Linked DNA regions of Macaca mulatta. The protein of the gene in region 2 purifies or fractionates together with the protein of the main gene of each other region. This does not show direct contact. Links are inferred from orthologs where the notes say so. Each region holds a gene or a part of one and is shown on either strand. Other genes may lie near its edges.

The links.
Region 1: the proteins of PSMB3 (region 2) and PSME1 purify together in Homo sapiens (affinity purification with mass spectrometry; 4 studies listed by BioGRID and IntAct, counting the BioPlex papers as one, with this or other methods). This does not show direct contact. The link is inferred for Macaca mulatta from reciprocal best matches to the Homo sapiens genes PSMB3 and PSME1.
Region 3: the proteins of PSMB3 (region 2) and PSME4 purify together in Homo sapiens (affinity purification with mass spectrometry; 3 studies listed by BioGRID and IntAct, counting the BioPlex papers as one, with this or other methods). This does not show direct contact. The link is inferred for Macaca mulatta from reciprocal best matches to the Homo sapiens genes PSMB3 and PSME4.

Annotation. Positions count from the first base shown.
Region 1 is NC_133412.1:97,252,512-97,257,315, reverse strand, and holds PSME1 (proteasome activator complex subunit 1), read right to left. Parts: upstream 3,039-4,804; 5' UTR 2,970-3,038; coding exon 2,931-2,969; intron 2,248-2,930; coding exon 2,215-2,247; intron 2,093-2,214; coding exon 2,030-2,092; intron 1,916-2,029; coding exon 1,805-1,915; intron 1,717-1,804; coding exon 1,671-1,716; intron 1,537-1,670; coding exon 1,439-1,536; intron 1,190-1,438; coding exon 1,121-1,189; intron 1,043-1,120; coding exon 975-1,042; intron 892-974; coding exon 837-891; intron 763-836; coding exon 676-762; coding exon of another isoform or gene 668-675; intron 503-667; coding exon 422-502; 3' UTR 285-421; downstream 1-284. Other genes in the region: EMC9 (ER membrane protein complex subunit 9), read left to right, coding at 42-228. UniProt on the Homo sapiens protein: Implicated in immunoproteasome assembly and required for efficient antigen processing. The PA28 activator complex enhances the generation of class I binding peptides by altering the cleavage pattern of the proteasome.
Region 2 is NC_133421.1:63,041,687-63,045,926, reverse strand, and holds part of PSMB3 (proteasome subunit beta type-3), read right to left. Parts: intron 2,672-4,240; exon of another isoform or gene 2,244-2,671; coding exon 2,066-2,243; exon of another isoform or gene 935-2,065; intron 595-934; exon of another isoform or gene 299-594; intron 220-298; coding exon 125-219; intron 1-124. UniProt on the Homo sapiens protein: Non-catalytic component of the 20S core proteasome complex involved in the proteolytic degradation of most intracellular proteins. This complex plays numerous essential roles within the cell by associating with different regulatory particles.
Region 3 is NC_133418.1:70,690,894-70,695,609, forward strand, and holds the start of PSME4 (proteasome activator complex subunit 4), read left to right. Parts: upstream 1-1,342; 5' UTR 1,343-1,574; coding exon 1,575-1,816; intron 1,817-4,716. UniProt on the Homo sapiens protein: Associated component of the proteasome that specifically recognizes acetylated histones and promotes ATP- and ubiquitin-independent degradation of core histones during spermatogenesis and DNA damage response.

The DNA.
Region 1 (4,804 bases), on a different chromosome or scaffold from region 2:
CACTACTTGCTGTTTGACCTCCATGGGGGTTGCTATTTCAGAGTGATGTGGAGGGACTGGGAAGAGTCACGGCAGATGGTGGGAGCTCTACTGGAAGATCGGGCCCACCAGCACCTTGTGGACTTTGACTGCCACCTTGACGACATCCGGCAGGACTGGACCAACCAGTGGCTCAACACTCAAATCACCCAGTGGGTTGGTCCCACTAATGGAAATGGAAATGCCTGAGCCAGGGCCAGCAGGGTCCAGATCCAATAAAGAGACTTGGGCTGATGGGCAGTGGTATAACTATATTTATTGTGCCTGGGAGGCAAGATGAGGGAAAAATCTCAACAGAAGCAAGTTTGGGGAAAATCTGGAGTCCCCAGTAAAAAGTAGGAAGGTCTCTGCTGTACCCATCCCAGAATGGGAGAGAGGGCTCTCAATAGATCATTCCCTTTGTTTCTCCCCTGGGCTTCTTGAGCTTCTCGAAGTTCTTCAGGATGATGTCATATAACACAGCCTACAGGGCCAGGGAGGAGTGGAGGTCAGTCAGAGGCCTCCAGTGGCTCTGTGCCCCATTTCTAGCCTTGTGGAGAAGCTGCACTTTGTCACCCTTTACCCCCAGCCTGCAGGGTCAGGGAGTGCGTGGCCTGGGAAAGCTGCCTCTGCCCACCCCTGCCCTCGCCTCCTCACATAAGCATTGCGGATCTCCATGACCATCAGCCGGATGTCCCGGTACTCTGCCTCATCCAGCTCGTGCACCAGCTGCCGATAATCACCCTGTGGGAAGCTCGGGTCAGGCCTGACCTTACATGAGTCCTTCCCTCATGCACCCTGACCTGGGCCTCACCTACCACATGGGGCTGCTTGGCTGCTTTAGTCACTGCATCACCACGCTCAGAGAAATACCTGTGGAAGGAGAAGTGTGTATGGAGTAGAAGAAGGAGGTCTCTGTCCCAAAACAGACAGTGTGTACATGGGTGGTCACTCACTTAGAGATTTGGGTGTGGAAGCCTTCTAGCTTGGTGTGGAGGCTGGTCATCAGCTCAAACACCTTCTCCTAGGGAAAAAAAGCAAGGGGGAAAGTAGAAGGAAGCATGGACTAGAAAAGAGCAGGGAAGTGGGGCAGCACTCTCACCTGGACAGCCACTCCAAAATTGTTACCATCCTCAATCCGAGGTATCTGCAGCTGCAACCAGGTGGTGACCTGGGAAGAGGGAATGGCGTAATGCCACATCAGCCCTCTATCCAATTCCGTTTCATATTCTCCCTTGCTTCCCTCCCCACACTGGGTGGAGGCATGCCAGGTCTCTCCTGAGCCTCAGAGCCCGGACTTCTGGTTTCACTTGCTGTGCTCTCTCTTGCTAAAACCTGGCATGTGCCAGGCCCTAAATGGCAGGGACTAAGAGGACAATGGTTTGACTTAAAGCCTGAGAGTTGAAGGGGGAGAGCCTACCAGGTTGAGCTGCTCAATGACATCCTTGATCTCAGGCTTCAAGCGCTGCAGAAGGACCAAGATCTTTTCATTGCAGTTCACTGGACCACAGGGAGGACCTAGAGAGTGAGCAATGGGTCAGTCACATGATTGAGCCTGTGTGAGGGTTGAAGGGGAGAGTAGAAAGAAATCCTTAGGAGGAGCTCCTGTGGGTGGGACTCAAGTCTCTTCCCACAATTGTGGTTTCAAGTACCTTTGTCTTCATCCTCCCCCTTCTTCTTTTCATCCTTGTCTTCCTTCTGCAGAAAAAGAGGGGCTCATGAGAGTCAGGACTAAGGTTGATTACCCCCATGGTTGGATCCCTTCTCCCAGGTCTTCCCAGCTTGCCTCCTGCTGTTTCTTCCGTTCCTCTTTCTCTTTCTCCTTGACTGGATCAGGCACTGGGATGTCCAACGGGGCCTTCAGATTGCTCAGGTTGGCTTCATTGAGAGCTGGCTCCTGGTGTAGGGTGGGAGGAGGGCTGGAGGTGAGGGGGTTCCTTTCACCTCACTCTCACAGCCCCTGACCCTTCTCTTGGCCTTTACTCCCTAGCTCCCTGCCCAGCCGCGGTACCTTTAAAAATGCATCCAGCTCAGAAATCTTCTTGGGGAAATAGCTCCCGAGCAGGTTCTCTGTCTGTGTGTGAGGTGGGATGGAGAAGGATGGGAGTCAGCATCAAATGCCCATCCTAGGTGGTGAGGCAGGGTTGAGCAGTAGGAGTTGGGCAGGGGTGGGGCCGCTGATGGGGCATGTCTTACCTTGGTACAGAGGTCTTCACGAAACACATCCACCTGTGGGGCACATGCATCCCTTCAGAAACTTGGCTTTAAGGCCAGTTCATTTGAGGACAGTTCCCTTAGGGTTATGTAGGGCCTGACCTGGGGAAGGGTGGAGGGGATCCCTCTAAGGCCAGACCTGAAGAAAGCGAGATGGATGCCTGTGGGGTGGGTTGGGGTGGTGGAGGAGTGGAACTCTGCAGACCTGGATCTACGGAGAGTGGAATGGGTATCCCTAGGGCTGGATACGGGGGATGAGAACATTCCTGGCAGTGAAGGGCCAGTGGTTCACGTGAGACCAGATCCCTGGGGTCGCCTGGCAGGTGTGAGGAGGGGTGCTGAGAGCCCTCTGCGAGCAGGACAGGGACGGGGTGGGCCCCGGGACCCTCCCTAAGGGAAAGGCCACGAGGTAGCTGGGGCAGTCCCGCATCCAGTCTGTGTGTGGCCCCGGCTCCAGGCCAGCGGAGTTCCCCTCCACGCCAGCTCTCCGCTTCACCTCACCCCACAGAACCACGGCCGCCTCGCCTGTCCCCGCAGGCAGCAGTCACCGCCCTCCCCGGGGCGCAGGTGCTCCGGGAGCGCCAGCTCGGCGGACTGCCCCTGACTTGTGTGGGAGTCTGGGGGGCGGGTCGGGGATGCCCCCGGCCGCTCGAGCCACGCCTCCCCAGTGGGCCCTTTCTAGACCCCGCGGCGCTCACCTTGGCTTGGGCCTCGGGCTGGACCCTGAGCGTGGCCATGACCGGGACGGGGGGCCTAGCGCCGCACGAGGAACGGAGTGGGCACCGCGAAGGGAAAGCGAAAGCGGCGCTCGCACCACTCACGGCCTTCCTGGGTAGTGGGGCGGGGAGGGCTGGAGGAGGCGGGGTCAGCCCGGCCAGGGAGAGGTGCAGTGCAGCAGAGGAGGGCGGCGGGTGCGGCTCCCCCTAGCGCGCACAGGCTGCCTCGCGAGGGCCAGTTTCCAGCCTCCCCACCCCCGCCGGCCGGGTCCCCGCCTCCCCGCCCTCCTCTCGTCCCCGCCTCCCGCCTCCCGCCTCCCGCCTCCCGCCTCCCGCCTCCCGCCTCCCGCCTCCCGCCTCTCGCCACTCGCCGCCCGCCGTCCGAGGACGCCGGGTCCTCCCATCGTCTAGTCTAAGCCAGTCTCTCCGCGCCCCGCCCTCCACCTTCCGCCTCCCAACTGGCTCCCCACCTGCTCTCTTCTTCCCCTGCTCCGCCTGGGACAGATAAGTCTTACTTAGGGCTCTTCTGTCTTTCCCCAGAGATGGAATAAGACCTGGCCTCTCTTTCCTAGCCTTGCTAGCGTGGGCCTCTGGCTCTGCCGACATCCTCCGCACCTGTAGCAACACCGGCACCAGAGCCGACAGCATCCCTATCCAAGCCCGGACCAGCTCTCTCCTGGACCACCGCGGCATATGCCATTCTACAGCCCACTCTCACAGAGCAGCGGGTTCATGCCTCTGTCTGGCTTAAAACCCTTTCTCAGCTGCCTGTTGACCTTAGAATGAAATCCAAAAGGCTGTTGCAGCTGTCTCCCCTTTAAGTTCACTTTCTACTACTTGCCCCTTCATTCATTACACTTGCAAATACTCGGGCTATTTGTTTCCCAAATGTGTCATGTTCATTCCTGCCTCAGGGCCTTTGCCCTTGCTAATAATCCCTTTGTCTAAAACACACTTACCCTGGGTGTTGTCATTCGGTTCTCAGTTTAGATGTCACCTCTTCAGAGACAACTATTTTCATCATCCTCTATAAGGAACCTCCCTCCAAATGCATTACAAATCAGCCTGTTTTAGTACATTCATAGCATTTATCTCTGATATTAGCCCGGTTTTTTTTTTTTTCTCCCCAGGATAATTCACTGATTTAAACCAGCAAACTGTGTGTGTGTGTGTGTGTGTGTGTGTGTGTGTGTGTGTGTGTGTGTGTGTTGGGGGACAGAGTCTCACTCTGTCGCCCAGGGTGGAGTGCAGTGGCACAATCTCAGCTTACTGCAACCTCCACCTGCTGGGTTCAAGCGATTCTCCTGCTTCAGCCTTCGCAGTAGCTGGGACTACAGGCGCGTCCCACCACGCTCGGCTATTTTTGTATTTTTAGTAGAGATGGGGTTTCACCATGTTAGCCAGGATGGACTCGATATGCTGACCTCGTGATCCGCCCGCCTCGGCCTCCCAAAGTGCTGGGATTACAGGCATGAGCCACTGCGTCTGGTCAGCTTTTTCTATAAAGAGCCAGAGAGTAAATTGTAGGCTTTATGGGCCTTACAGTGTCTGTCTACTCAACTCTACCATTGTAGCAGGAAAGCTGCCATATGTAAATGAATTAGTATGGTGAGATCAATAAAACTTTACAGACACTGGACTGAATTTCATGTAATTTTTTCCTGTAATAAAATATTCTTTTTCTTTTGCTTTTCCAACCATTAAAAAATGTAAAAACGGCCGGGCACAGTGGCTCATGCCTGTAATCTCAGCACTTTGGGAGGCCAAAGTGGGCAGATCACTTGAGGTCAGGGGTTCGAGACCAGCCTGGCCAACATGGTGAAACCCTGTCCCTACTAAAAATACAAACACTAGAC
Region 2 (4,240 bases):
AGCCAAAAGCACCTTTCTTATCTCATACCTGACCAGGGGGCTGGGAAAATGGGGTGTATGCTTGTGGAGAGGGGAGAGGCAGGGTGTCTGCAGAGCGTCTAGACTTCTCCCAGCCCATACTCACATGATGTGGACAATAACTCCCATGCCTGACACTGCATCCCGGTCCACAGCATTCAGCATGGCTTGGGAGATGGTTTCAAACAGGTGTTCTGGATCCTGCCAACAGAGTGGGACCCCTTGAGACCACAGCCTCTGGCTCTGATTTGGTTTTGTCCCTTAACTCTCTTTTTTCTAGGCTCAAGGTTCCCAGCTCTGGCCTCAAGACATGCCTGAAGTAAGGGATGATTCCCAGGATGTGGGAAGCCCCCCTCAGCTCCTTCCTTGGAAGGAAGCAGAATTATGTAAAGGAAAGTGAAAGAGACGTCAAGCCCTGAATTTCTTTTACTAATCAGCAGTGTGACATTGGGCAAATAGCACGTCCCTTCACTGAGCCTCAGTTTCTTCTCTGTAAAATAGGGAGAAGAATCCCTATTTGGTTCCCATGTGCTTTAGCAGCTGTCTGATGGGCTCTGATCCTGGATATCTTAACAGGTACCTCAAAACCCAACCTGTCTCCAACCACAAACCCACTTTCCCCAAACCTGTTCCTTCTACATTCTGTCTTGGCTAGCCTAGCTGGAGAATCCAGCCATCCTCTGTCTCTACCTCCTTCACTTCTGTTTTAAGTGACTAAGTCCCCTTGACAGCTGCCTTCCTGCCTCCCCACTGCCACTGTCTTTGCTCAGGGCCTCAGTGCCTCCTGCAGGCGATAACAGCCTGTCATGTCCACCTAAAGGCACCTGATTCCCTAGGTTCCTTACGGCAGAGGACAGAGTTCAAACTCCTTGGCATGGCATTCAAGGCCCTTTGAGGTCTCATCTCAGTCTCCAGCATCGTTTCGCACCATGTTTAACCCACACTTCAGCCAGGTTCAGCTCTCTCCAGTCACTGAGCATACCTGGCCATTCCTGTACCTTTGCACAGGCTGTTCCTTCTGCTACCAGACTCTCTTCTTTCCTCTTCTTCCCAACAAACTGCAGTTTAATGGTATTTGGGTGTGTCTTGCTTCACTGGACTGCAGTGGGCCCTTGAAAGCAGACTGTACCTGCTTTCCCCAATGCCCAGGAGAACTGACACTCAATAATGACAGCCGACCCTCGCTGTCGAGCACTATAATCTCTTCTCATTTGTTTTTTTGCTCGCTTCGGCAGGACATATACTCATTTGTTTTCCTCAGCACCACTGTGGGTTTTTTTTTTTGTTTTTTTTTTTGAGATGGAGTTTAGCTCTTGTTGCCCAGGATGCAGTGCTATGGCACGATCTTGGCTCACTGTAACCTCTGCCTCCCAGGCTCAAGCGATTCTCCTCAGCCTCCTGAGTAGCTGGGATTACAGGCGTGCACCACCATGCCCGGCTAATTTGACATTTTTTTTTTAGTAGAGACAGTTTCTCCATGTTGGTCAGGCTGGTCTTGAACTCCCGACCTCAGGTGATCTGCTTGCCTCAGCCTCCCAAAATACTGTGATTACAGGTGTGAGCCACCGCCCCTGGCCTCCTCAGCACCACTTCTAAGGTAGACTTTCTTATCCCCATTTTACAGTCAAAGTAGTGGAGGCAGAGAAGTAAACTGGCTTCTCCAAGAACAATAACTAACGTGGTGGGTGGATCCAAGTTTCCAACCCAGACAACCTGGTTCCAAAGCCCATTCTGTTGAGCCGCCTCTAACCCTACACTGAGTTAAATGTTTGCTCAACGAATGGATGCGGGAACCCTGTAAACCCAATGTAAGGAATTCTTACTGCTGTGGCAAATATCTAACTGTGGTTTCCCAACAGAAGACGCTCTCCTTTGGAGCCAGTCAGCCCTGGCAGATGGAATTTCTGGATACCCTTCCAAGGAGCAGCAGCTGCGGCTTTCCCACCTGCACCATTTCCCCCATTACCTGCCACATAAACACATTTTTTTCCTAATGACCAAGGGTGGGTACCTCAGAGCCCAGTCCCACTCCATGCCACCAACATACCATGTTGGGCTCCCAGAGGGACTCGCACATTCCGTACATTTGTTCGGCGCAGGTGCCACTGACCACAAAGTCATCAGTCACCATGGGGCAGCCGATGAGGTCTAGAGAGCAAATGAAGGGCTTGAAGGTCTTCGGGTCCAATCCGGCAATGACTGGCTCAGTGTAGTAGGGGCCAAACCTGTGGGGGCCAGCATCAGAGAGAGAAACCAGAACTCAGGAATGCTCACTTTCATGTTCAAGCCTATTCAGACAAGGCCCCGGCCTAGACCCAGACCCAAAGGGAAACGGAGGACCTGTTTAGGAAGATGACCTTTCCCCGAGGCCAGCCCCCTCTCGCTTCTCCTGCCAGCTAGCAATGTTCTAAGACTTCTTCACTTTCTCTTCTTCAACACTGACCTTTCTGTCCTCCTCATCTCTGACCCTCTTGTCCTCCTTTCTTTCAGAATTGTTCTTCTAATCCTCCCTCTCTTCACCCAAGGTCCTACCATCACTCAGTCCTCTATGTGTATGTTTATACCTCTACTCCTTTAGAGAAAAGATTGGAGGCAGTTTATATGAAAAACACTGAAAAATAAAACTAAACCATTAAAACATAATACAAGATAACTCAGACTGAACACAAAGTTTTGTTTTGAGCCCCCTCACAGGCAAGGCACAGAGGGATACTCAGTGGCTGGGTTACTCTCATTGTCTGTCAAAAGGAAATGGCAGCTCATCAGAAATTTGTTTAGACACTGATCTTTAAGAAAAATCAGTCTTTTTTTTTTTTTTTTTTTTTTTTTTTTGAGACAGAGTCTCGCTCTGTCGCCCAAGCTGGAGTGCAGTGGCCGGATCTCAGCTCACTGCAAGCTCCGCCGCCCGAGTTTACACCATTCTCCTGCCTCAGCCTCCCGAGTAGCTGGGACTACAGGCGCCTGCCACCTCGCCCGGCTAGTTTTTTTGTATTTTTTTTAGTAGAGACGGGGTTTCACCGTGTTAGCCAGGATGGTCTTGATCTCCTGACCTCGTGATCCGCCCGTCTCGGCCTCCCAAAGTGCTGGGATTACAGGCTTGAGCCACCGCGCCCGGCCGAAAAATCAGTCTTAGGGATCTTTATGTACAGATGATGGTCCCTGACTTATGATGGTTCAACTTAAAATTTTTCAACTTTATGATGGTTCCAAAGTAATAGGCATTTAGCGGAAACTATGCTTTGAAATTTGATCTTTTCCCAGGCTAGCAATATGTGGTACCAAACCCACTCCTAATGCTGGACAGTGGCAATGAGCGGCAGCTCCCAGTCAGCCACACAATCACGAGAGGAAACAACAGATAATTTACACTGTTCTGCTGTGAGCAATTTTTGGATATAGTGTTTTGTGTTTTTGCATCCTATGTCTACAAAATACCCATTTCAAATTACAATATTTTAAACTTACAACATGTTATAAGGTAAGGAGTGTCTGTATAAAATACCAAATAACAAATGGCCAATATCCTCAATAGAGTCAGTAAAGAGATATTATCCATATGTCTTATTGGATCACAGTCATTTCTTTCTTTTTTTTTTTTTTTTGAGACAGAGTCTTGCTCTGTTGCCCAGGCTGGAGTGCAGTGGCATGATCCTGGCTCACTGCAAGCTCTGCCTCGTGGGTTCAAGCCATTCTCCTGCCTCAGCCTCCCAAGTAGCTGGGACTACAGGTACCCGCCACCATGCCCAGCTAATGTTTTGTATTTTTAGTAGAGATGGGGTTTCACCATGTTAGCCAGCATGGTCTCGATCTCCTGGCCTCATGATCCACCTGCCTCGGCCTCCCAAAGTGCTGGGATTACAGGCGTGAGCCACTGCACCCAGCCTGGATCACAGTCATTTCTAAGGGCATGATCTTCAGTTATAGCTCTAAATAGAAACACACACACACACACACACACACACACACACACACACACACACAGTTTGAGATTACAGGCATAAGCCACCATGAAAATAACTTTTTTAGGCCAGGCACGATGGCTCACGTTTGTAATCTCAGCACTTAGGGAGGAGGCCAAGGCTGGAGGATTGCTTGAGCCTAGGCATTCAAGACCAACCTAGACAACAAAGTGAGACCCCTGTCTCTACAAAAAAATTTAAAAATTAGCCAGGTGTGGTGGCATGCACCTATGGTCCCAGCTACTCGGGAGGCTGAGGCAGGA
Region 3 (4,716 bases), on a different chromosome or scaffold from region 2:
CAATTTTCCAGACGAAGCCAGAGAGCCGGAGTGAATTTTTTTTTTTTTTTGAGACGGAATTGCGCTCTTTTTGCCCAGGGTGGAGTGCCCTGGCGCGATCTCGGCTCGCTGCAACCACTGCCTTCCGGTTTCAAGCGATTCTCCTACCTCAGCCTCCCGAGAAGCTGGGATTACAGGCGTCCGCCACCATGCCCGGCTAATTTTTTTGTATTTTTAGTAGAGACGGGGTTTCACCATGTTGGCCAGGCTGGTCTCGAACTCCTGACCTGGTGATCCGCCCGCCTCGGCCTGCCAAAAGTGCTGGAATTACAGGCGTGAGCCACCGCGCCCGGCCGCCAGAGTGATTCTTTAAAAATGTAAATTATATCATCCCACTGCTATGCTTAAAATCTTTTGGAAGTTTGTCTCTAGGATAAAGTTCTGAATTCCTTAGGATTTCCTTCTCAGTCTCATTTCTCCGTCCCCTCTCTTACGCTATTTTGAAATTTGAATTTTTAGAATACATGCTTGCAGCCTCAAGAGCTGTTCTCTCAGCTAAATACGTGTTCTCCTCCCTCCTTTTTCTAATCAACTTTGCACTCAACCCTTACAGCTTAATTTAAGTATCACTTCTAGGAAACTGACACCCTCTCAACCCCCTAGTTTGAACTTCTCTGTAGAGTTTCTAAGGCTTCCTGTACTTATCTAGCAATTAAGAGCATTATCTTGTAATTCACGTCTTTATCTCTGCTAGACTAAGTCCTTGGGAGGGCGGAAACCAGGGTAAACTTTCCATCTCAATAGCCTAAACGGAGTGCCTTACACACGAAACAGTCGTTCAATTAGCATTTATTCAGTGAGTTAACGATTTTCTTCCTTGGAATGATGGCGGCCAGAATACCAGAAAGATGGGGACTAAAAGGGGACAGAATAATTAAATCTATAAGGAACAAGCGGGAAGGAGTAAATAAATCTATAAGGAGCAAGTGGGTACGTAGGCTTTTCCATAAATCCCTGTAACCTAAAAGCCGGGGCTGCTCGGCTAGGGGGACCAGGCCGACCTGGCGAACCTGTCGCCGCGACTGGGGCTCCGGTGGGCGCCGCCTGGAGTGCGCGACCCCCGGCGAAGCAGGACAATAGCTTGGAATTCGGCCTCGTGTTTCCGGTGAGGCAGCCTCGCGCTGGGCCGGTGAGGCCCGGGGTGGGGGCTCCGAGCCGGGCCCACGGCAAGGAAGGCGCGGCCCGCTGGGCTCCAGCTGCCGCCACCACCGCCTCCCCCGACGCCGTCGCTCCGCCCCGCCCCGCCCCGGAAGTGACTTGAGACCGGTCCGGAACCTCTGAGCCCGGCGGCTGCAGCGTCACCAGCCGAGCCGGTGCGGGGCGGGCAGAGCGGCCGCTGCCGCCGCCAACGAACCGGGAACCGCGCGGGGCCCAGCAGCACGCCGGCCAGGGAAGGGGGCCTAGCGATCGGTCAGAGGGCGACGGGCCGCCGGCGGCCGCAGGGCGACGAAGACGCGGAGGAGGCGGAGCCCGGAGAGGGGTGGGGGTCGGGGAGGGTTAGGGTGGGAGGGGGTAGGGGGGGTGTCCCTGGGCTCATGGAGCTGGCCGAACGGGCGAGAGTCGGAGAGCCCCCGGAGCCGGGCGGGCGTTCCGAGCCGGGCCCGCGGGGCTTCGTCCCGCAGAAAGAGATCGTCTACAACAAGCTGCTGCCCTACGCCGAGCGGCTAGACGCCGAGTCCGACTTGCAGCTGGCCCAGATCAAATGCAACCTGGGCCGGGCGGTGCAGCTCCAAGAGCTGTGGCCCGGGGGCCTCTTCTGGACCAGGAAACTCTCCACGTAAGTGTGCCCGGGCCTGCAGGCCGGGCCGGGGGGAGAGGCTTAGTGAGAGGTGTCGGGGATGGGTGCTCTTTGTCCAGAGGACTGGACCCTTAGCTCTGTCCTCGCTGGAGCTGTCCCCGAGCGGTGGTCCCAGGGTCGTGACAGAGCCTGTGAAGCACTCAAGCTGTCCTCCCTGACACTTTCTTACCGGGATTCCCGGGTCCTCACCAGCCCTGCACGTCCTCTCCATCTGCTTCTCCCGAAGTGTTCGGGTTGTTGTCTTCCCACCTGGGGGGACCTGGGGAGCCCAAGGGCCCCGGCCCCGAGGGAGAGAGGTGAGCCTTTCCCAAGGGTCCTTCGTGGATCTTTGCGCATAGGAGAGGCGGGGCAGAGAGGATTTGCCTTTGGGGGAGTTCTGTGACTTCTCTCCCTGCTTCCTCCGGTTCTTCCTTCCCCTACGATCCCCGCCTCTTCACATCTCCGTTGGCGTCTAGTAACTTTCTGAATGGAAAGGAGACCATTGGGAAACTTAAGGGTTCTGCTTTTTTGGGGCCCGCTCAGACCTGGCGGAGTTGATCGAAAAGGTTGGTTTAAAGTCAGACTTCATTCTTGAGCTTAACGTCTTAGACGTTAATGTGGACAATGTTGTTTAAGATCCTAAGGATTGTGTGTTGTTCCTGTTGTGACATTTCTTTTGGAGAGGCCTTTAAGATACTGAGGAAAGTAGGGAAGAGTACTGTCAGGATGTCCACGGCGATACTCGTATCAGGCTTGTGTTAATATTTTGAGTTACTCAGATTAACATAGATTACCTGAATCAGTTTCAGGAGTTCTGTTTGTAAACTAGCTTCAAACTATAGTGTCACTGAAATTAGGAAAAAAACAAAAAACAAAGAATAAAAATACAGTGGGGGAGGAAAGGTTACATTTACCTGCTGGGTGGGCATCTTTACTGTGTCGGAAGAGCTTTTTAAGAAATAATTTTGCTGTATCTTGTTTGGTTAACTGTACATAAAATCTAGTAACATGGTATGTTCACGCATGTGGGTATGGATGGGTGAACACACAAGACCTAAGTCACTCATTCAGTGTTTACCCAAATCTACTGATTGAACTGAGTGATGACTCAGGGTTTTGTAATAGTTTTGTCCATATTTCTTCACTGGATGATTCTCGTCTGCCAATTATTAAGGAGCCTCTGACAAATTTCTCATTTCCACTTGAGGGGTGGGTGGGAACTAAAATTAAAAAGAAGCAAAACTGAAACATGTAATTTGCCCTCTTCAGAGAGTGATCATAAAATGTCAAGGTTAACAACTCTCCTCCTGACTACAGTATAAAGAAGTTTTTGGTGTTAACGATCCTTAGGAGAATGGGGGTGAGGGGCGGCAGAAGCAGGAATGCAACAGGGAGAACCACGTTTAGTCAAAAAAAGAATACTTCATAAATAGTTACAATCCAAATGCTTTTTGAAGTGAGACTCCTAGGTTTTTGTGTTACTCAGGCACAGTAAAAATAGTCACTTTGTTACAGTGATTCCCCATTTTAATCACTTGGATTAGACTTGCTGGGAGAATACCTACCATTTTTGGGGATGCAAACAGCTTTTTTTAGATATGCAGTATATACATATGCCATGGTGCGAAGGCATATCTGGTTTGGATTTATGAACCTAGAATCTACCAAGGCATACTTAAACATTGTTTTCTGAAGTATTTATTGTTATCAAGTTTGGTAAATTAGCACTCCGGGTTTTGTTATTTTGGCTTATTAGGTAAAAGTTTTTACTTAGAAAGGGCTAAAAATAACAGTGGAGCTAATGTTTGGTGTTTAGGGCTGGATTGCTGATGGCTTAATACCCATGAACCTATAACCATTTATATCTAAATAACCAACAAGAAATGCTATCGGGTAAAATTTTGTTTTGGTGTAATGGTTAAATGCTGGAAACTGATTCTTGGTATTGCACTATGAGACATTTTGAATGCAGTGGGACATGTTGTGATCTTGGGTGTGTTTTTTTCCTAAGTCATGTTAAGGTGACCTGTTTATAGTTGTGCTTGTTTTTTAAGCCTTCTGTGTTGCATAAGTGAACATCTGAATAATGCCAAAACGTGTGACGAAAGCTGAGTGGTGATCATATTTAGTACTTCGTAGAATAGAAAGTGGTAATGAAAAGAAATCTAGTTTCTCCCACTAGCCCTGAGACTGTGGGAAAGTTACTTAATCATGTGTTTCAGTATTCTTGTGCGTGAAATGAGGAGATTGGACTAAATAATTCTTTTTTTTTTTTTTTTTTTTTTTTTGAGGTGGAGTCTTGCTGTTTCCCAGGCTGGAGTGCAGTGACGGGATCTTGGCTCACTGCATCCCCTGCCTTTGGGGTTCAAGTGATTCTCCTGCCTCAGCCTCCCAGGCAGGTGGGATTATAGGCGAGTGCCACCACGCCTGGCTACTTTCTTTGTATTTTTAGTAGAGAGAGGGTTTCACGATGTTGGTCAGGCTGGTCTTGAACTCCTGACCTCAAGCAATCTGCCTGCCTCGGCCTCCCAAAGTGCTGGGATTACATGTGTGAGCCACCGCACCTGACCTGGACTAAATTCTTGAGAAGCATTTCTACTCTGGTATTCTGCAGTTTTATTTTTTTAATCCTGTCAAGCTTCACATCAGTCGTTGTGTGTATCTTTCTACAAGAACTGTTTGAATAATTTGTAAAATACTAGAAACAGTTGCATAGATCAGGTACATTCCTAAAGACCAAAGTGTAAATGCAGTTGAGAGTTACTGGGACTATCTTGCCAATCAGAACTGTGCACCCCTAATCTGGACATCAGAGGTGTGTTTGGGACCAAGTTCTGGTTTGGGAGGTTCTCAGGCTTTATATTTGGTCCCTCTTTTTGACTTTTTTTTTTTTTTTGGAG